3 linked regions of the Caenorhabditis elegans genome follow. The protein of the gene in region 3 interacts with the protein of the main gene of each other region in a pairwise test. Each region holds a gene or a part of one and is shown on either strand. Other genes may lie near its edges.

The links.
Region 1: the proteins of gras-1 (region 3) and Y57G11A.2 interact in a two-hybrid assay, tested with the Caenorhabditis elegans proteins (one large-scale study listed by BioGRID).
Region 2: the proteins of gras-1 (region 3) and grp-1 interact in a two-hybrid assay, tested with the Caenorhabditis elegans proteins (one large-scale study listed by BioGRID).

Annotation. Positions count from the first base shown.
Region 1 is NC_003282.8:14,514,724-14,522,651, forward strand, and holds Y57G11A.2 (Vitelline membrane outer layer protein 1), read right to left. Parts: upstream 4,817-7,928; 5' UTR 4,736-4,816; coding exon 4,507-4,735; intron 4,282-4,506; coding exon 4,069-4,281; intron 3,997-4,068; coding exon 3,775-3,996; intron 3,727-3,774; coding exon 3,637-3,726; intron 3,587-3,636; coding exon 2,532-3,586; intron 2,482-2,531; coding exon 2,368-2,481; 3' UTR 2,299-2,367; downstream 1-2,298. Other genes in the region: T27E7.1 (uncharacterized protein), read left to right, coding at 5,143-5,200, 5,300-5,368, 5,417-5,592, 5,818-6,021, 6,071-6,244.
Region 2 is NC_003281.10:8,082,769-8,090,747, reverse strand, and holds grp-1 (GTP exchange factor for ARFs 1), read right to left. Parts: upstream 5,044-7,979; 5' UTR 4,998-5,043; coding exon 4,979-4,997; intron 4,928-4,978; coding exon 4,830-4,927; intron 4,513-4,829; coding exon 4,327-4,512; intron 4,253-4,326; coding exon 3,908-4,252; intron 3,846-3,907; coding exon 3,634-3,845; intron 3,060-3,633; coding exon 2,930-3,059; intron 2,881-2,929; coding exon 2,689-2,880; 3' UTR 2,299-2,688; downstream 1-2,298. Other genes in the region: tRNA endonuclease vms-1, read right to left, coding at 14-187, 390-882, 933-1,058, 1,107-1,220, 1,613-1,733, 1,780-1,859, 1,903-2,014, 2,064-2,208; K06H7.7 (uncharacterized protein), read left to right, coding at 5,283-5,304, 5,356-5,536, 5,754-5,902, 5,953-6,132, 6,176-6,254, 6,318-6,435, 6,488-6,787, 6,837-6,962; apc-2 (Anaphase-promoting complex subunit 2), read right to left, coding at 7,140-7,334, 7,381-7,551, 7,596-7,791, 7,839-7,936. UniProt on the Caenorhabditis elegans protein: Promotes guanine-nucleotide exchange on ARF. Promotes the activation of ARF through replacement of GDP with GTP. Plays a role in cell shedding during embryogenesis, probably by promoting the endocytosis of cell adhesion molecules.
Region 3 is NC_003279.8:7,832,422-7,838,902, forward strand, and holds gras-1 (General receptor for phosphoinositides 1-associated scaffold protein 1 homolog), read left to right. Parts: upstream 1-3,386; 5' UTR 3,387-3,405; coding exon 3,406-3,513; intron 3,514-3,564; coding exon 3,565-3,781; intron 3,782-3,830; coding exon 3,831-4,070; intron 4,071-4,118; coding exon 4,119-4,291; 3' UTR 4,292-4,546; downstream 4,547-6,481. Other genes in the region: F30F8.1 (RING-type domain-containing protein), read right to left, coding at 529-672, 718-822, 867-1,004, 1,049-1,276, 1,323-1,524, 1,573-1,763, 1,812-2,126, 2,171-2,347 and 3 more; F30F8.9 (Letm1 RBD domain-containing protein), read left to right, coding at 4,643-4,719, 4,807-4,928, 5,183-5,298, 6,189-6,271, 6,351-6,477.

The sequences.
Region 1 (7,928 bases), on a different chromosome or scaffold from region 3:
TTGGCGAGTTGATATTTTTACTTTCAATGGCTCAAGTTTTATTCTTCTCTGCTTGCTGTGTGTATTACCTTGTCATTTTCAAAAATTCCAATGCCTCTGCCGCCACTCGCCGCCTACAACTTCGTGTATTTATCGGACTTGTAATTCAAAATTTGCTTCCAATGCTTTTGACCTACATACCTGTGCTGATTATTCTGAATAAAGATGGAAGTGATCAATATAATCAAGTAGATAACAATTTGGTCGGTATGATTTCAATAATTCATTATGGGATTGCAAGTTTATTCATTCTTCTCGTGCATAGTTCTTATCGAAAGTTTTTAGTTTCTATTTTCTGGAAGGAGAAATTGAACACTATTAAAATATCGATATGTCCTAAAACAATAAATTTGTGACTCATAATTTTTAATTGGAACAAACTTATCACAATAAAAATCAACTCATTTTGCCTTAATTTGTCTCAATTTGCAATACTCGGCAGTAGCCCGCAATTCCTTGACCAAGGTTTGCCCACTCCTTGTCCAAGGTCTGTCAGCTTATCTTTAGCCATTACAAAGAGCTGTCAGACCTTGGACAGACTTTGGGCAGACCTTGGGCAAGGGGAAAATATTTTTTCATTTCTGCCAGTTCGCGCAAGCTCAACTAATCAGAAATCTATCGCCACACCGCGGACCCGAACCAACGTACCCATTTTCCAATTGTTTACATGTCCATCGTCTTACCTGTGAAGCCCTCCTCGCGCGCGCGTTTATGTATACAGTAGCAAAGATACAGTAGCCAACATAGATACTCTCAGCGGGGCGAACAACAAAGAAAACTTACCACCGTATATTCTCTATTAGTGCAGCAGTACTAAATTCCGGACCTTCCGAAACTGCAGTAGTATTAGAGAATGTAGTACTAATTTCCAAATGAATCTATGTTGAGGTTGAGAACATTATTATTCACTTACTAAAGCTAATATTTCAAGTGGAAATTCATGAAAAGGGTGAAAAGGGTACAATAATATTGTTACAGAAAATACACCCAATTTAAAGGTTTTGGTAATTTAGTGTGAAACCATCGAAAATTACATGAAAAATTCCATTTAGTTATTCAAACGGTGAATGGTAGTAGACTCCAGCAGTACTGATTTTCGGAGGGTCCTAGGGGGGTTTTGACGATAATTTCCCATCATTTTCCGGGTCTTGACGACCTACTCAGTCAAGAGCGAGTCACTGTGTCTCGGTCCAAACCCATTCCTAATTTGTAAATTCTCAAAAACCAGAACTATTTTCGAAGATTCCATCAAAAATAAGTAATACGGTATCTAATAGTCTTGCAGTCTCTAATAGTATCGCGCCAAAAAGGAGTCCGGAAATTAGTATGCCATACCATACTAATAGAGAATATACGATATGCAAAAAGTTGGCTCAAATGATAACAATCACGCGTTCTGGATGAATAACAAAAATTAACTTTTTGTTTGAAGCCGCTCAGCTCAGCTTGGCATTGGCGTCGCGTACAAACTTGGTTAGGGAGTGGACCAACTTCGGACAAAGAGCGGGCTCTCAGTGGTTTGTGAGTAAATAAACGCCAAATTGGACAAAGAGTGGGCAAACCTTGGACAAAGAGTGGGGGGCGCAGTGAATCTCATCGTCTGTTAAAACTTGGTCAAGGAGTGGTTAAACTTTGGGCAGAGAGTGAGCGCCCAGTGGGTTGTCAGTGTAAAAAACGCTAATTTGGACAAAGAGTGGGCAAACCTTGGTCAAGGAATTGCGGGCTACTGCCGAGTATTATACCCGAGATACGAGCGTTTTACATATATATTCGTACTGAAAAAAGTTAAAAATTGTTGTTTTACTTCAGAAATTTTTTTTTAATATTCTTATTTTCTATTTAGCGCATAAATTAATTGGTACACCTGTGAATTGGTTTACCTCAATTTGCCGTAATACAATACAAAAAAGTTTGTAGAAAAAGCTTAGTCCTTCTTAAACATTTCCATAATAAGCCGATTCCCATGATAAATCAAGATATGAACTGTCAAAGTTTACCTACCAAAAATGGTGCCAGGTGCATCAAGACCCACATTTGGAAGCTCATTTCTGCTAGTTTTGGATTTATTGAAAATCAACTGGCCAAATACTCGTTATTTACATTTTATTCTGTTATATTTGAACATTTTTAAATATCACAAAACAGAACCGAGATATTCAATTTCAAACTCTGGCTGGACTAGGTGTCCAGATTCTTTTTGTCATCTTGAAGGGCTCATATCAAGTTTTAATATTCTAAAAAAGTTGTCAACTATCCCTTCAAAAATCACAATTTTATTCTACAAAAAAAGAGAAAGAGAGTTCGACAAGAGTTCGGCTACTGAAGAACCTAACGATGTTTGACAATGAGTGCTGGCAGGCTGATGACATGTTCATCGCACTTCACAACGATCTGCTCGACAATCAACTTCTTGTGGGCTGGAACCGGAAGAGTGATGACCATCTGAAATTTGGAATTGAAGTCAAATTCTAGAAAAAGTAGAGTAAACTCACATTCTGACCAGCGACTGCTTGTTGAACCAATACTTCCAGCTCGTCCATTGAAATGCTCAGCCGGTGGTAGTTGGATGGGGATTCTGGTTCTGGTCCCGGTGCTGGAGCTGGAGTTGGAGAATCGATTTCCGAATCTGTTGGAGTCGGAGGTTCTTCGGTTGGTTCTGGTACTTCTGGAATTTCCTCAGTTACAGCTGGTCCTGGAGTTGTGTCTTCTGGTCCCGGCACTGTATCTTCTGGTATTGGATTAGGATCTTCTGGCTCTTGAACTGGAAGTCCCTCAGTAGTAGTAGCAAGCTCTGGTCTTGGAACTGGATCTTCTGGTTCTGGAACTGGAGATGGCACTGGCTCCCATGGTCCTGGAACTTCATCGGTCTGTTCTGGCATTGGACCACTTCCGCTTCCATGGGTAACTTCCGAAACTTCAGTAGCGGCCACCTCAAATGGAGCTTCCGTGGAATGAACTGATCCATCTTCAGGAATAAACACTGGACCATCTGAAGTTTGTTCCTCCTGCGATCCTTCTGCTGGAGCTTCCGTAAAGATTGGGTCAACTGGAGCCTGGTTTGAATCTTCAGTAGCCGCCACCTCAAATGGAGCTTCCGTGCTTGCCTCGACTTCAGACTCGTTATTAGTCTCCTCAGCTGTATCCTCAGTAGCTGTCATCTCAACTGGAGCCTCTGAGCTCCCTTGCTCGACCTGTTGTGACCATGCGTTTTCGTCTGCATTAGCCACCGCCGGAGGTGCCGAACTTGGATCCACTACTTCGAAAACTGGATCAGATTCTGAATTTTCACCGCTGGTAGTTGGATCAACTGTGGGAATTTCAGAAATTTCTCCATTTGAGGAAGCAGCTAGATCTTCACCATTGGAGTCCACGGACTCAACTTCTGGGGCAACTGAGGTCTTCTCTGGATCATCTTCTCCCAAAACCAGTCCACCATCGACATAATCAGGATCAGTGTCCTGACGCTTGTTTCGGGTGTAGACAAAGTCCGCTGGAGCAGTGCTGAACTCGAGTTGCTCATACTTCTTTTTCAGGGAAAGCATGATTTCTGAAATATAATTTCCATTAAACAATTTGTTAATTCCAACAAAAACTCACTCTTGGCTACAAACTCTTGTTCAGTTTTGTCCGCCGCAGCCGGTCCTTCGTACTTTGACTTGACGAGCACTTTGTGGGAAGTTTCGTAATCTGAAATTCCAGAAATTTTATTGAAAAGGTGAAATCCAATCTCCTCACCATTATTATTCTGATACTTGTCCACTTCCTTAGCCTCATAGCTTGCATCACAGTCATATGGTGCCGGGCAGCATTCCACTTGAACATTGTTCACACCAGTATCATCAATTCCAGCTTGAGTCTCATTTTTCTCAACTCGAGCCTGAATTCCGCAGACTGCAAAGCCAGTTGGGCAGTAGAGATCCTCAGTCCAGTGTCCTCTTGTGACGGATTTTGTGTCGCCTGAAAGACAATCGTTTCTTGAGTCTACCTTACACAAAAGCTTGGTCCTAAGCCTACCTAGCTTCTACTCACCTTGAAGTACCACCTTACTGTTCCTTGCTCCAAATTGAGCTCCACAAAAAGCTGCAAAGTTTAGAGCTCCGGCGTCGTCATAGTTCCCTTGCAACTCTTCCACCTTCAGAGAGAATCCGACAATGACCTTGTCATCTGGGCAGTACTGCACATTTTGCCAAGTTCCGCTGACACTTTCTCCACTGATCACTGATTCCTCACTGTGTGGACCACCTGAAAAATGTAAATCTAGTGAAAAGTTGCAAATTTCCGGTATACAGTTTGACAGCTAATATCTATGTTCAAGTTGGTGCTATCAAAAAGTTTTTCACTAAAAAAAAAGATCAGTTCTAACCTAACCAAGATATTTACTCTCAAAGAACATGGTGTATCGACAGAATTCAGTTTTTACAGCCAAGGTACAAAACTTTAACCGATGTTTCACTAAACTATCCTCACCTTTAGCCGCACAACGAAGATCCACCGCAGTGAGTCCAGCAATTTCGACATCCTCCGACCACTCTTCAAACTTGATTCTCATTCCATTTGCATATTGCCCTTCAGGACATCTTGCCCATGGCTGCCATGTTCCAAATGTCGAAATATTGGGCGATTGCACAATTACTTGAGACTTGACACCAAGTGTCCACACGCCAAATACCATCCAAACAATTGATGGATGAAGCATTGTACAATGATGAGTAGAGCTCTTCCAAAGAGCCGATTGGTTTGCCGAGAGAAAAGTGCTCTCAGTTGTTGGCAATGAATTGTTTCTATTGATTTTTGGGCCTTATATAGCAGATGCCACGTAGCACCCGTGACCAGGTAATTTATTTTTAATTGCCTGTTTTTAATGAACTACGTGACCCGAAAAAAATCAAAAAAAAAATCAGAAAAAAATTATTTCAATCAAATTAAAATTTTTCCGTGACCCGTTAAGCCATCTTGATAAGAAACTCCATAAATAGGGTGGATTTTCTCAAAAAGTTCACTCATTCATATTTCGACCGCCCGTTTTTTGGTCTCTCATCGCGGAGAGCAGAATTCAAAGAGCCGTACAAAAGAAGACACACCGACGCCAACAATTCGGATATCATGAGTTGGAATTGCCTTTTGCCGATTTTCGTCGGATTCTTTGTGCTTTTTTATGAAGGTATGCCTCTTGTTTGTCGCAGTTTCGACGCTTTTTCATGGAAAAACTGCCGAGTTTTGGAGAAGTTCAGTCTATATGTAAAATAATTTGTTATTTTAGGACAGTGCCAACCAGCTAGATGGACTCAACAACCGGGTGGCCAGAACCCCCAGCCAGGTGCAAGTTTCCGTAAGTTCTGAAATTCCTCAGCCAAAATCATGGTCCATCAACTTTCAGCACCCAACATGAACCCTGTCACAAACGGACCAGGATCTTGGACACAAAAGCCTGGAGGATACAACAATGGGCCAGGATCCGGAAGTTTCAAATCAACTAAGCCACCACGAGGACTCGTCTACTATCAGCCCAAGAACTATCCATACAAGCCTGGAAAAGGTGGAAAATATATGCATGTGAGTTTGGAGATGATCAATTTCGGATTCCTCGCCGGTTCTTAAGTCTAAAGCAGAGTTGTAAGCTCAAAATTCGAAAAAAAATGGCTGAACTTCGGTGTTTGCGTACTAATGGAGCTACCGTACCCCTCGAAGCTTCAAAATTGAGCTAGAATTCTCTACCTTTTGGTGGTCAGCTTGGGTCCACAAATTGATAGCTTCTCTGAAGTAATTCTAAAATTTCAGGCGGACCCTATCCTCCCCAACGCAAATGAACGACTTTCGGCTCAAAGCGACCAGTACACCGTATCCGACGGAATTACGGGAGACTGGAGCAAGATTGTGGCAAACAGTAAAGGATTCTATGTGCTTCATCCGGTGCAGACAAAAAGCGAGGAGGACATTTTCGATCCGTACACTATTGGTCAAGTCATTGGGTACCTTTATGAGGTAAATTGGGATGCCTACCTTGGTGCCTACCTACCAGCGTTGTTTTCAGGTTCAAGAATTTGGAGGAAAGAAGCCGCCAAGTGGAAAGTACACGATTGAGCTGATGGGCAAAAAGATTCCGGACCATTTGAAGAAGAAGCGCTCACTGTTTGGCTCTCCGGACCGTACTCGTCGTGCTACGTTGGTTTTCAAGAAGAAGGAGCAGGTTAAGAGCACTTTGTAGTTTGTAGTGAAAAATAAATTTGTTTCTGCATGGCTATAGGATTACAGTTACCGTCCAGAGTATATTATACACTTGGTGATCTCGTAATATGTATTATGACTTCTTTGGTATTGTATTTTTCAATGTTGAACTGTATATATAAATATATAAAAGTTGGCATTTCCTGTACCTGTACTGAAAAAAGTTGAAAAATTGTTTAACTTCAGAAATTTTTTTTTGATGTTTCCATTTTGTAGGGCATGTTTTAAGTAGTAGATTTGTGAAAAAGAAGTTGGTAGAATTGAATTATTACTCGAGATACAAGCTTTTCATGAACTGAAAACAAATTCAAAAAATGTTTAACTTCAGAAGTTTTTTTTTTGATATTTTCATTTTGTTGCGCATGTCTTAATTTGTACACCTGTGAATTCACTTTTCGATTTCTGGAGCAGAAAGGGATAACAATTTTTAATTCGATTGACTTCATTCGATGAGACGTTACAAATGTTTCAAAAAAAAATACCGTTTCGCAATTGTTTCATAACTTTGCGACAACTTTTCATAATGGTTTGACAGCGTTACGATAAAAATTAGATTGTTTTCCAAACAAAAAATGGGCCGAATCATCGTATTTATATATTTACTTATATATTTATTTGCCATGCAGTAAATTTTTTGATTTACTTCTGCCACAGTTTTCCAAATGCCACAAAAGTTTCCTTTTTTTTGGAGGGCGAAATTGAAATTAAGATATCAAAATGCCCTAAAAGAATACATTTGTGGTTTATAATTTTTAGTTGGAACAAACTTATCACAATAAAAATATACTTATTCATTCACTTAATATTAAGACTTGCAGCAAATTCTGAATAACTTTCATTTATGATGAATTCTGGTTTGCAATTTGTAATGAAAATTTTGGCATTTCATTTTAAAACGGCAAAAGCGAACTATCAAGAAAAAAGTGGACATTCTAAGAAAACATCTATGAAAAAGTACCAAACAAAGTATGCTAGCTAGTACAGGATATATTTAAAAAATTCAGAATTTTACCAAAAGCTGTATTTTTCATAATTCCAAAAGTTCGGGAAAATCATAGGAAACGCTTCTTTTTCTTTCATAAAATTGTTCAGAATTGTCATTTACACCAGAAAATACTAAACAAAGTATGCTAGCTAGTACGGAAAAAAAAACGGAAGGAAACATTTAAAATTGATATTCTGTAAACGGGAAGTTCAGCCATTTGCCGTGACCAAAAATTTATATCACGCCGTCGAGCTCCAAGACACCCCAATCAGTTCTTTTTTTCAGTTCTTCAGAGTTTCTTCGTTTTGTCAGAAGCAGTTTTGCCAGAAAAAACATAAATCAACATTAAGAAAAAAAAGGTGTTTGCTCATTTCTTTTTCTAGACAACGCATTGTAACTACTCATTAAAAGGAATTTCAGTCTCGGTGACGTTATAGTATTTGTCTTTTTCTCGTCGCTAAAAATTGAATGTAAAAAAAAGAAAAATCTAAATGACTCAAATCATCTCTCTATCGGATTATTTCGTTAACGTATACCCGTTGAAATGCCCTCCAGATACCCGATATTTAGCATCCGTAGAAGGACTAAAAACCGTCGCATGTTCAATTTCTCTACTCTCCCTACCTATTCTATTTCTCACATTTTTTTGCATTACAAGGAAAACTCCAGAAAGCAGGAA
Region 2 (7,979 bases), on a different chromosome or scaffold from region 3:
AAAGAAAACTAACTTTCAAGCATTTTCGTGCATCATTTGCAGCAGAAACATGGAGGAACGTGGATCGATTTGGAGGAATTTTCGCATTTCTCAAATAATCGTTAGCTTCACTCGTGACATCTTCATTTAATGAGGCTAAATGTTCCTTCAATGCTTCCACGCTGTCTTGACGAACGTAGTTATAGGTCTGAAATAATTTTTTTTTAAATAAAATTTTTATTGAAAACTCTACTGAGAGTGAAGTAGGGATGGGATTTTTTCGCAGAAACACTGGATTTTTTTTTCAATTTTTCAAAGTTATATCCGGCCATTACGGTCCGTTTTCGATGATTTGAAACAAAATTCCCATACGACTACATTTCATATTTAGAAATAAATTAAAACGATACCTTTTGTCTCCATTCATCATCTAACCTTGGCCATTGAACAACCGTTTCTTCTGGTTTCTTTATCGTTCTAACTTTGATATGATGCGTTTTTTTCTCTTTTGAAATATCTTCATTTTCATCATCATCACTCCATTCACAAATCATCTGCATTCCTCCATCTTTTCTCTTCTTTCCAGCAACTTTCCTCGCCAACTTTTTTCGTTTTTCTCGTACTTCCAGCATTTCTGCTCGAAAATCAGACTCTGCTCCATGTTCTGAAACTTGTTGAAGCCGTTGCCAGCAGTCTGAGATTTCATCAATATTTGGACGTTTTGTTTCGAATGGAATAGTTCGAATCCGATCATCTCTTGTCTCAATTCCAGCGTCTGCTTCGAAGAAAATATTACGATGATAGGCAGCACATCTGATGAAAAGCAATGGAGTTTTCTGAAGACGAGATTTCCAACTTGACATAATCGATTGAATTTCCTCCTTCATTTTTTGTTCATTGTATCTAAAAAAAATATAGAAGTATTCAAAAGGTTAGAAATTTTCACGAAATACCTTCTCAATTGAGCTCCGGCACTCTTCGCAGCCCCTTTACCACCAGAATCATGTTGAGATTGGACTCCTCCTTGTTTGGCACGAGCCACATATCTATGGAATGACTTTTGAACAGTCATTTTATCACTGAAATAATCAGAATTTATAAAATTAATTAGAAAAGAAAGAATTCACTTTTCAAACATTGCAGCAGCGAAGTGACCACCATTCCAAAGAAAAATGGCACAATCAAATGGACGAAGGAATGTGACTGAAGAGACATCTCGCTCACCCACGTGGAGAATATTCCTGAAAGAGGATGATAAAATTATTAAGATTTATTTACTGTGTCCAGGGTTCAGAATTACAAGAAGTTTCATTCTTCGTTTCTTTTTGTTGGTGTTTTTGGCGAAAAACCATTTTTCGTTTTCGTTTCTCGGAAAAATTGAAAAACAAACATTTTAGATTTTTCGAAAATTAAAAATTGGTAAAACTGTAGAAAAATGTACAGAAAAAGACAGGGAAACTATAGAAAATTGGAATTATAGAGAAAGTAATTTTAATCCGATTTTTGAAGCATGGTTTCAAAGTGTGGCTATTTTTTTTTTTAGAAAAAATTTTTTTTTCTTGTGTTTTTTCTTAAACAAAATTTAATTTTAAAAAACGAATTTTGTTAACTTTCAGAATTTTTTTGATTTTACCTTGGAACCGAAAAAACGGAGCCATTTTTAATGAAAAACGACCGATTTGCAGGTAAAAGCAATGCATCAAATTCTTCATCGTCAGATTCCAATCCAATTGTAGTTTGTGAAGATGTGAGATCTGGTAATACTTAATTTACAATTTACATTCATATCGGAGATCATACCATTTTCTGAATTTTCGATTCCTTCAAAATCTTCTTCAGTGTAGACTGTCATGTTTCTAGCTTTTCGAAGAGTATTTGTTCTAGAAATATTGTATTTATGTGAGTTGTAAAAACTGAGAATACCTATGAAAAAGTGATTGATAATGCTCTAAAAGAACAGCTCGATCACCAAAATCCACTGGACAATTACATGTTGTACACTGGTCCGAGTCTTCTGACAAACGCATTTTCCATTCTAAAGACATTTATTTTTCAAATTAAGGTTTCTAAAAGTACACACTGACCTAACATTAACGACATTCCAGCATCGGTTTCGGCAGAAATAAGAACTTCTTCTTCTTCCGATGCTCCTTCGTTTTCATGATTTTCATCGATTCGAAACGGTTCAACACCTTGCAAAAATTCTAAACTTTTCAATGTGAACCCCATATTTTCTGAAAAAAGTTATGAAAGTTATGACTGAAGTCTCGAAAAAATATCAAGTGGGTCACAAACCGATAGATGAAAAGAAAAGGCAAAAAGGAAAAATGGACGCTTTTTCTGTAGAATCTTTAAAAAAAAACAGAAAAAACAAGAATGAAGAGAGAAAAAGCTGATTATTAAATGATTACATAATTAATTCAGGCGAAATTATTTCGAAAAATTGAGAATACGGTTATTATGGAAAAAGTACACATAAGTGAGTTTTTTTGTATGAAAAAAAAGGAAATAAGTGCGAAAGGCCTAAAATGACTCGTTTTGGTGGAGGATAACAGATTATAGAAGTATTTTTTGAATGGAGAAGTTAAATTAAGATACTGAATACGAGAATAGAAACAATATATAAAATATTTGATTGTTCCCGGTCTCAATTTCAGAATACAAAATTACAGAAATGTTCATATTTGCAATCATATTGTTCAAAATGTTTCAGTGGGTACTTTTTGGTCTGGCTAATAAATGTTGCTGCGGTGCCATCATTCGTGATATTGCGTTGATCCATGATCTCATATCTTCATCATTTACTGCACATATTTTGTAAATCGAATGACGTCCTTCGACAAGCCGCCCATCTTGTTCTGTTTTGCATGCTTTGATTTGTCCATCCGATAGAGAGAATATCTGGAATTCAAGAAAAATTAACTTTGAAATTTAATTCAGCAATTTAAACCTCAAACATGAATGGCCTGGAGGGTGCCTCGACCTTCCGTATTCCAACATTTGCCAATGTGATGATTCCCTTTGGTTCCTTATCAGTCATTTGGTCAAAGTAGTAGAGACAATTCTCAGAAAGAACAAACCTATAATAAAGTTAAGGATTATTTGTGTTCATGAAACAATGTGAAAAATGGTTTAAAGTGTAGTATATTCGGATGAGGAGTTTCTTTTAAAAGATACATATTGACCTCAATGACCGAAAAAACATTTTTATTATTTAAAAAAATTGCAATAAAATTTTTTTAAACATTTTAAAATGATTTTTTCAATTTTGCAAAAGAAAAAAGTTTTTCGCCATTTTTGCGTTTTCTGGTTAAAACCGAATGTTAAATTTTTACACACATTTTTACAAAAAAAAAACTATCAAAAAATCGATTTTTAATCCAATATTCTTTCTGGTTATCAAGTTTTTTAACGGAGAAATTGTTTTTTAAAAATTGGAAAAGCGAGCTTTTAATCGAATATCCGAGAAAAAATCACCAAAATCAATAAATTTAGTCTGAAAACGGAATTCAAATTTAGCCTTTCCTATTTTTGCAAAATTTAAAAAATCATAATATTTAGTAGAAAACTAATAATTTTTTAAACAGTTATATTTCGGTTATACGGTTCCATCTTTAAAAAGTATGCTACTAATAAATATATTCAAAACCTTACCATCGTTTTTTCCACGAAAGAGCACCAGAAAATAATGGATTACTACTCTGCTTGAAAAGCCATCCTTCTCGTTCAGCATGTAATAGAATATCGTTCACAGTTCCTTTTCCACTTGTCGATACTTCATCTGGGATCTTGAATTGTGTAACACTAACTGATTCATATACTTCTGTGAGCTGTTCGATTGTAATTGCACCTTTTTCGAGAAGTTGCTGAAATTTTCCATTTAATTTCATTAAAAATGTTTTTTCTTCAATTTTCATCCTATACCAACCTCATTCATTTCAATATATTTTTCCAGTGATGGTTTATCTTTAACGTTTGGATTATGTAATAATGTATTAACCATAATACATGAATATGCTACTGTATGTGCTTGATCTGCATTTCCATATGATGGATTTTGATTCGCGTAAACTTCTGCAAATTTCTCCAAAATTCGATTAATTTTCTGCGATTCGCCAGGTAGCCGGAAGGAAAATAGATATTGACGAAGAGCTGGAACAATCGGAACATCATGCAATTTATGTTCTTTTGTGAATCTGTCAAGGGTTTCCAACGCAAATGGACGGTTATCACCCAGTATTTCGCCGATCGCACTTTTAGAAAGTCCTTCGCCCTGAAAAATTGCAGTTGAAAACATAATAAATAGATTTCTATTAAATAATTGTTTTAAAAAATAAGAAAACTCACAGCTTTCATCCAGAGCGCCAATGCTTGAGGATCCTTTGCAACTACATTTCTTGATGCCAACCAATCCAACGCTTTCCATGGGTCTTGATTGAACTTTTTTCGGCCATTCACCACTATTTTGTGATATTCTTTTGATTTTGGATGGGTGTAATATACTTGATCGAGTTCTTCGTCAACTTCTCGTACCTAATATGTTGACATATTTCGTAATAGACAGAATTTAAAATAGCACACATGGAGAACGTCATTTTGCTTTTTTAAATTTATTGTTTTTTTTAGAAATCAAAGATAGCTTATCAAAGTTTCAGTTATTAGAAATATTCTTCGATATTTATAACAAAAATCTAAATTTTTAGAATGCAAAAACAAAACCGTAAAAGGCATCACAGAGAATTGATTAATATAATTTTGAAAAATATTATTTAAAATAGAAAAGTGAAGATTTCCGTTCTAAAGATTTTTGTTTGGCTAAAACATTCATTAAAACTAATTAGTTTTCACACCTCATTTTTTAGCGCCTCAATTTCATCGACAAGTTGTGCCTTCCTCTTGCGTACTTTGGGAAGAGTCATCTTCTCCGTCTCCGATAGTCCATTTCGTTCTGAAATTATCAAAAGCGTTGAAATTTGCTTTAATACTCAAGTGTACAAACCTGAATACCGCGATGACATTTATCCCTTGTTTTTCCGCTGCATACACAGACTTCCTTTTTCAATGCTGAAAAATGAATTATTTTAAACGTTTTAAACTTTAAAACAATATCAACTCAAGAGAGAAAATGACAAATCAGGAAAAATACAAGCAAAGAAAAACTAATTGAAGAAAAAGAAAAACTCTTAAATGTCGTACAATGTGGTGTCTACTGTGCAACATCCCTCATAGTGTTTGCACACAATTGTCTACAGTACTCTATAACATAATTCTAGGACCTAGACTTTTTTCCTTTCTTGTGCGAGATGTCGTTTTCTGCCGGAGAAAGTAAGTTAAAGTTATACATATGAATATAAAATTGAAGACTTTCAACTTCAGGTTCTGCCGCAACGGGAGACCCTCAAGATTTCAATAAATTCTTTGGTGAAATTAACAGTCCATCCGAAGCTGCGAAAACAATCAAAGCAATACCTAAACCATCAGTCGCTCTCCCAGAATCTTCAGAATGTGCATCATATTGTGCTAGTTGGGTTAACGACCAGAGTTTTGAGATTTTACCGTATGTCACTTTGAAATATTGGTCCTCATCAGGGCTGTGCGGCAACCGGCAACCAAGTTGCCGAATTTTCGGCAACCAAAAGTTGCCGGTTGCCGAAATTTTTAGGGTTCGGAAACTTCGGCAATTGCCGGTTGCCGAAAATTTTTGGGTTCGGCAACTTCGGCAATTGCCGGTTGCTGCACAGCCCTAATCCTCATGAAATGAATAAGCTTTCCAGAACCGATGAAGAAAATAGGCAAACGGAATTCAGTTCCTCTCCACTTTCGGATAGTGTTCATAGTTGCCTAGGATTTAATCGAAAAAAGGAAAGAAAACGGAGGACGTCTGGAGATATTGAACAAACTGATAAGAGGAAGAGAACAGAAGGTTTCAATTTCACTTTAATTAGTTTTAAAAAAATTAAAGACATATTTCAGAACGACCTTCTGATAAAATAACATTTGCTTCTAATGTCTTCGACAACCTGGCTCGTGTTACTGCTGAGAGAGATAACCCAGAAAAACTATCGAAGTATAAGAATATTCCTGGAGTAGGGACAAGAGAGAATATTGATGAAGGAATAAGTGATATAAATCAGCCATCATCAAAAAGTAGTGGTCAGTTATAGACTGTCTGATTTAAAATCACTCTTATTTTCAGGTGTTAAATCGAAATACGTCGAAGTGATGTCATTGTTTCAGAAAAGTATACAAAAGTTCTCCATTATGAATCTTGATTAGTTAGTTTTATTTTGCGAAAATTCGATTTTTTAAAATCCTTTGCAAACAAATAATATTTTCAGCATGTACACATTTGACTGGAACCACTACTCGAAAAAGAACATTCAATATGTTGTGTTCACAAAGGTCTGCCAATCACACGCCCCAGGTCATTTTGTCGAGATGCTAAAGGAAGATTGTGTAATATTTCAATTTCGATCTCTTTTTGGCAATTATCATTCTCTTTATTCAGAGTTGCCGAGACTGTGGAAGTGCTGATTTGGCAGTTAAAGTTCGCCTTACAGTACCACTTGATTTGTCTGATATCCCGATACCATGCAGTGAAGATATACAGATCCACGTGTCATTTCTGGCTGACGATCTCTTGGAAAGACATATATCATCAAATGTGAATAGAAGTTCGAATAGAGATGATCTGGACTTTTCGAGAAGAACGTGTGAAAAGATGTACGATTTGTATCAAAAAATGATGAGAGGACAATCAAGTCGCATGTACACAGAATGGTTCGATAAGTGCAAAATTTTTGTGAAGGTTCGGAAAAAAAGTGTTCAGACTGAATTAATATAAATATGATTTGCAGAATTTTCTCTTCTCCAAGTCGCTTCATCTTTATCACGGAAATGTAATACGTCGAAAGATTGAAGAGAGTCAAACGTTGAATAAACGACGATGCTTCATCTTTGCACAAATTTTTGATCTCGAATAGTTTTTGTTTAAATTTTTTTATTTCTTTGGATCCTCTTGAATCTCAAAATCGACTGTGCCATTTTTTGTTGTTTTTTAATAAATTGTTTTGAAATATTTTATAGAATTAGATCATCATAAATACCAGCTTTGTTTAAATTTAGAAAAAAAAAATTTCAAGATTATAAAATGAAAGAAGTTATTCGCCGTCTTTCTTTTCCTGAATGATACGATATGACCCATTAATGCAGGTTAGCAGTCCCAGCGCAACTTTTCTTTGCAAAAACGCGGAAACATGATCAAGAGTGGGTCCTGCAGAAGTTGGAGAACCGAACATACGGTAGACACGATGCATCCGTTCCGCTTTCACTTCTCCGTTAGGTGCATGATTGGCCTGAAAATTGATTTTTTTATTCTTATATATTTTAAGTTTTACTTACAATGAAATTTCTAGTATATCCCCAATATTGTTCTAAAGCATCAACCATATCAGAATTCTCTTCCGGTTCCACATCTTCATCGTCTTCAAGGTCCGGTGTGCCTGGTCGAACGATGGAAATTCCACTTGGATTCCGGGTCAATGTCCACGTGTCGCTACTGATAATGGGATTCTGAGAATGAAATTATATGATAACTTAATAATTTTCTATTTTACCATGCAAATAAATCCTTGTTTAACCAGCCATTCCAATCGTTTTCTTGTCACAACCACTGACATTCCCATTTTCTCGACTACTTCAGCAGTTGTCCATGTTTCTTTTTCGAGGAACAAGAAGAGGAGAAGAGCGTACATATTTGGAATTGTTCGATCTACTTCAACTCCATCGATATTGATAGAAACCTCTACACATCTTTAAAAAGTTAAAATTCACATGATAATTCAACAAATGAAACTTACCCAACACTTCTTAACCATTCTAATTTTCTGTCGCGCTTCACGTCCAGATAAGTTTCTTGGTAAACGTCCATCGCAGCTTGCAATGGTTGAGGCATTAACTGAAATAATTTTTCATATTGTAACATTGTTGCAATATTCTCA
Region 3 (6,481 bases):
ATCATTTTATGATTACTAGTAGAGAATAGTGTTTAAAAAAATCGAACCGCCTGAAAACTCGAATGTTTTAACAAAATACAAGCATTTTTCACGGCTTACCACTTGGCGCAAAATCTTACTCTCGATTGTTTGTTCAAGTAGAAATGAAATTTTTTCGTCTTATCATTTCCAGGACACGTGGGAGGAAGTACGTCTTTCATTTTTTTTGTCACGGCGGAAACACAGCTGTTCCAAGTTTCTCGTCATTTCAATGTCTAGTTGCACATTTTGATCTTCGTTTTTTCGAGTTATAAGAAAACATTTTTTGTTCCGAAAAAAATTATAAAATGTCTGATATTAATATGAAAAAATTTGGAAACAATAACAGTGGGGTTATCGGAACATGTCGAGAAGCGAACAAATAATATAAGAGATGTATCGAGAAACGAATACGGGAGCGAAAAAAATGTAGGGGAATCGGATGAAAGATATTTAGTGAATGTTACAAGTGTTGGAAATGAGACATTCAGAAATTGGATTGTGGCTCCTTCAACGCCAAGCATCGGTTCTTGTAGACAGAATGTCTCTGATCCATATTTTCTCTCTGCTCCAGAACCTAGATGGCACATCAATCAGCAACATTCCTCGAAATTCGAGTTGGGTGGAATGCGGAAAGGTTGGTGCAACCACCATCTGAAAATTAACTTGCTGATTGATAACTTTTTGCTGCCTTTTTACCTCAAAGTTGCTTGCTTTGGACACTTCGAAAGACCCCAACAATGCTTTCTTGATGACAATGTCCGCTTTGATGCTCTGCGAGTGGAATGTCACATCAGCAGTTCCCTAAATTGATTGGTGATACATTTTTGTGGTTCTCAGAAACTCACAGTTTGCTTGAAAACGGCATCATCCACCAAGAAGGCATCCTCTGGGAATGTGCTCCTCTTGGTGTTCATTTCCGTTATCACCGTGATTTGATCAACACGGAACTTGCGGTCTTCGAACGATGCTTGGAAAATCACAATCTGAATAATTGTTAATCTGGTTTTGAACAACACAAAATTCCTACATCAAGTTGCTTATCCCAGCAAGTGTACTTCTTCAAAGCAATTCGAGCCGATCCACTGATAACGTCCATCAATCCAAGTGAATCATTCCAAATGAACCAACTTCTCTCGCTTGTCTGATCTTCGCGCCCAATTGGATGAACAAGCATTCCACGTCCTTTAATACTGATTTTGTTTGGAGCAGGAAGCTTTGCAGAAATGATACAATTTGGATGCCCAAAGAAACGAAACTGAAATTTCAATGTTTGAAAATTAAAATTTCGTATTATAACTAACTCCTCCATATTCGCCTGGATTAATGACCATGAAGTAGACATAATCTTTTGTATCTGCGCGGGTGTCCGGAATTCTAATATGACCGAGACGTGATGAGTACACGTGAAGCATTTTGGGATCCGATTGACTATCTCTCTGGATCATTCCCTCTGCTAAGAAGGGATACGTTGCCTTGAACTTGGTGCGTACATTGCTCTCAAAGCTAAAAAATCGTGTTCTATTAAAATAATAATTCATTAGGACAACTCACTAAGCGTCTGTAACATTTTTCAGCTCTGTGTTATCCATATTGATAAGAATATCTGTCGCCAAATTGCAGTACTCTGTTTGGTTCATTTGTTGAAATGCTTGGACGGTAGACGAGGAAGATGTACCACCTTGTTGACCAGTTTCTGATGATTCCCATAGAGTACCCATTGAATTCGGAATGACACGAGAATTCTAAAAAATGAATTTAATTTAAATCCCATTTTCTTAATTTTTTTAAACCATTTGCTGTTGATCAAACTGATTTGATGTTCCTTGATTCATACTAAGTTCATTCAACTCTCGCCGGAGAAGTTCTTCCCTCTCTTGGGAACGTAGACGAGCAGTTAATTCAGTGAACATGTTAGGAAAAACCGTTTGACCCGGAAGATATGGAAGATCAATGTTTTCAATACTCTTTCCGCTGGCAATGAATGGTATTGTTTTATTTGGATCGATGACGTCATTGTTTTGAGAAATGTTAATAGCAGCATCATTTGACTCAGAAAGCCATGTACTTTGTTCAATTTGTTCTGCTGGAATCAATACACTTGGACGCTGCAACTAAAAAATTTTGAGAGAACTGCAAAGCTCTAATTTACCGGGAACTGATGACGCTGGACCATTTCAAAAACCCCATCGAGATCAGCGTTCAACTCGGAAGACGGAACTTCACCCTGATTGTTGGCTCCATGATGAATATTTAAGTTGTTCACTTCTCTTATAATTTCAGCTGGAGCTTCATCCACTTTAGGCTGAACTGAACCGAGTTTGCGTGTCTGTCAATAAAATTCATTAAACGGGAATTAAAAGTTAAAACCAACCAGGACAGGAATTGATTGAGATGAAAGACGACGTTGTGATGAAGCTGCCAAAGTGGAACTGGAAGGAACAAGCGCAGTATCTAAGGCTGGGACAGATTCGGAATTCGACAATTCTTGGATTGGGAGAAGCCTTTGTGTGAACGAGTTTCTCACTCCAGCAACTTGACTACTAGTGGGCACCTCTGACGATGTAAATGATTGAATTTCCTGTCGAAGAGATTGAGGTGGTACTTCACTTGAGCGAACCATGTTCTGGAAACATATTTTATCAATCAGAATATGAAAACAAAGTAAAACCGTTTGCGCGATTTGCTGAGGAACAGAAGTACTGGTTGGTAGAACTGCTTCACCAGAGAGTACAGGTGGAGGAAGCGGCTGGGATAAATCTGAAAATCGACTTGAAACTTAGGTCATTAAAAGTTTCCACAAACCTCTCTGATTACCAGCGAGATATCGCTGAGGATTCATACAGAAATTCCTCGTAAACTCATTTACTTGTGCTATATATTCAGCATAAGAATCATTCATCGCGAATGATCCTTATTTTGACAAAAATCAAGGGAATTTTCACAAAAGTAGGAAAAGTATTTAGGAACGAGTTTTCGAAAGCTGAAATTTCGAAAGCGTGTCATGTGTTTGCGTGTTTCAGTAAATACCGTAACCTTCATATATTTCAACAACAAATAAGAAAAGGTGCGCACGCGCTAGTCATTTGTTTGGTCTTTTAGTCGTTTATTTTTTTGCATGATGATTGTGTTTTAGTCACTTTTTACTTAAGTTTAATAATTTTATATGCTTTCTTCTAAAGTTATTACCGAATTTCCCATTATAAACTTTGCGCGTCGAATCTGGCGCTTGCGTACATGTTTCTCGTCTCTAGCTTTTCCTTTCATCTTCTCACCAATTTTACAACTTATCGACTTTGTTTCGAGTCTTGTGTTGTTTAAACATTTAAAAAACTCTAAAAACATGTTTTTTTGTTTAATATATGTTATTTCAGAGTTTCTGCTTTTATGGATCACATCGACGCTCATAGTGCGGTTTCCACGAGTTCGAGCTCTTCAAAATATGATACGCCGGATGACAATATTTCTGAACAGCGACTATTGTGTGACGCAAAAGTAATTATTTGATTCTCCATTGAAGAACAACCATAATATTCGTTACTACAGGAAGAATATCCACTGAATGATTATCTTTTCGATGGGATCAATCAAGAATCCGCACAACGGAGCCTTCTTCTATGTCGTCAAACATTTGAAACTTCCTTTGGCTTTGCTCTCCAATCATATGTATTCAAAAGAACATCTTCAAACAGTTACGAAAGAATAACTTATGTGGATTACGTGTCGGCTGATAGCCCAGCTGATCGCTGCGGGATAACACGAGGTATTCAATCATTTAATTCAGCTTTTCCTGCCAACTACTGCAATTTTAGGCGACATGGTCATTGCTGTCAATGAAAAAAGCGTCGTCACTGCCTCCCATGCAGAAATCGTCGAATCAATTGCTCAGTGTCTTCAAGTCAGTCTCGTTCTGGTCTTCAAAGATGTAGCAAGAATCGTGGAATTGAGCATGCGGTCGATTCAGTTACGATTCATGCTCGATGCAAAAATTAGAGAATTGAGGATGCTCGAAAAGACGGAAGAAGATTTGCAAGCATTATATGACGATGAACGTAAGTCGAGTTTACGGTTATTATTTTGATTATTTGTAACAATTTTAGATGGCAATGAGGAGGAAGACGAATCACTTGAAAGCACGCTTTACGAACTTGATGAGGAGCTAAAAAATGTACAAAATCCACAAGAAAAGGAAGCAAACGGCACTGATTATCGCCATCTCATTCGCATCAACAGTAGCACGTCTGTTGGAACTCCCCAAGTCACGCGTCTCTAGTAAAATCAATGTCTTTCATATTTTCACGTTTATCTCTGAACACTCATGGGTAAACATGTATACTCTAATTATATATTTCGATCCCTGGTACATAGTTGTACATATATGTATTTTAACTTCCTGTCTCCGCCCAAAATTTGCCATTTTATTCCCATTCCAGTCATTTTGATTCCCACAAACCTGTGATCATGGTTATGATTCTAGCCTGCCTGTTATACTATTAGTTTCAGGAAATAACATGAAGTTTTATCTACTATTCCTGACACAATTATTTCAATTATCCATGAGGTTCTGTGCCTTTTCTACTTTTTCGTTTGTTTTTCCTTGACAAAACTACTTTTTTTCAAACAGATGCACTCATTGTCAAGGATTCTTCTTCATCGCAGTAACAGTGTGCTCAATTCGCCTACTTTTCTTGTTGCTGTTAGGTAGACCTTTTCATCATTAAAACCTGTTTTATTCTGAGTATCCGTTAAATTCAATATTATCCCTCTAAAAAATGTGTTCTACTTCAGACAAACATCAGCCGGTCCACCTCCAGCCACTCCAGCTAAAGAAGGATCCTTGACCTACAAGTATGAACAATTTATTGGAAAATGGCCTAAAGTGTTGGCACTTCACAGGACTGTTCTTGAAGGTGAGGGAGTTCTCCGATTAACTTACTTACTTTTGAAATTCAAAAATGACATTTTCTGATCTTTTTTATTTTTATTCAGAGATCTTGACATGCTCTCTTAAAGTCGCACGGATTTATTCAGATGGGTCTCGGCGCAAAGTTTATGGCAACTTAAACTTCGCCCCGTGACTCATCTGAATAAATCCGTACACCTTCATGAAGGAATGCCAAAATCGTGTAAGATTACAATATCATCTTGTGAATCATATATTCAGGCTCTCGATGGTGCTTTGCCGATGTGAAAATGTATTTCAAGACGAAACGAGCTGTGGCTACCGGTCAGAAGAAGCTCACAGATCTCAGCGTTGAGGAATTGGAGACACTTGTTCAGGTAGAAATAAACTACGGAAAAGGGTCTATTCGTTGTTCTTTTTCTTCATGAATAGACTCAAATTCTCCCTTTTTGTTTTTATTTTCTATTACAAGGATAGTCAAAATACTAGCAAATTATCTAGAGTGGAAGCGAATTGATCAAAATGCTCACACTCATTGTGATTCTACAAATTCCTGGTCCTGGCGACATTCTAATTCTTATGTTGTGAGTTGTCCTAACATTTTTGGAATATTTTTTGTCGGTGTTGTTAGTTATTTTTAATTCCGTTTTCTTCTTTTATATAAAAAATTTGGGAGCGTTCTTTGGGGGTTTTGCTTTAAATTATAGATACGAAAAAGTATATAGAATTGTACATGATTTTTTTTTCAATCTTTCAAAAACAAAGGAAACGGTTTAAACGGGCTTTACTTCCCGCGCAATAAAATTCTGGCTAAATTCTTTTTTTTATTTCTTCTTTGCTATTTGGTTTGAAACATTTGACTCAGGCGTTTTTAAAATTTTTTTGTTTGCAGCATTAAAATAACCTTTTTTTTTTAATTAAATAAGTTGTTCAAAGCAAAACCCCCAAACAACTACTCCACCTTTAATCCTAACTGGACGGCAAACTCGCAACTAAGAATCTCCGTTTTGGCGTGTCTTTTCTCCCTCAATTTCATCACCAAACAGCTTCGAATCTAATTAGAAAACATCTAAATTTCAGTTTTTTAAGCTGAAAACCTTTTACAATGTCTTATTCCATTCAATAATTGGAAAATAATTTTTCGTTTATACAGTCGGGATCATTTTTCTATTCGGTAGATTTATAATTAATAATGGAAACGTTATTGAAATAATATAAAAGTAGTCTAATTAGATTCGAAACTGTTTGAGTTTCTCGCTCTTTTCAGATGCCAGTCGAAGGACCCAAAATGGCGATTGTTACTGCGTTTTTGCCTGTGCCACTCAGTGTTTACGTCTTTGCATTCGCCATGTATGTGGAAATGATTTCCATTATTTATTTTATTTTCTCACTATTTAATCCCAATGTTTCGACACAAAGTTTATTTTAGAATCTTCTTTCCTCGCCTCGTGCTTACTCGTCATTTTTGGTCTGACCAGCAGCGACGAGAATATTTCCAATTGGAAGTGACCAAAGCTCTGATCAGTGGAGAGCAACTGCTTAAAACATATGGAAATGTGA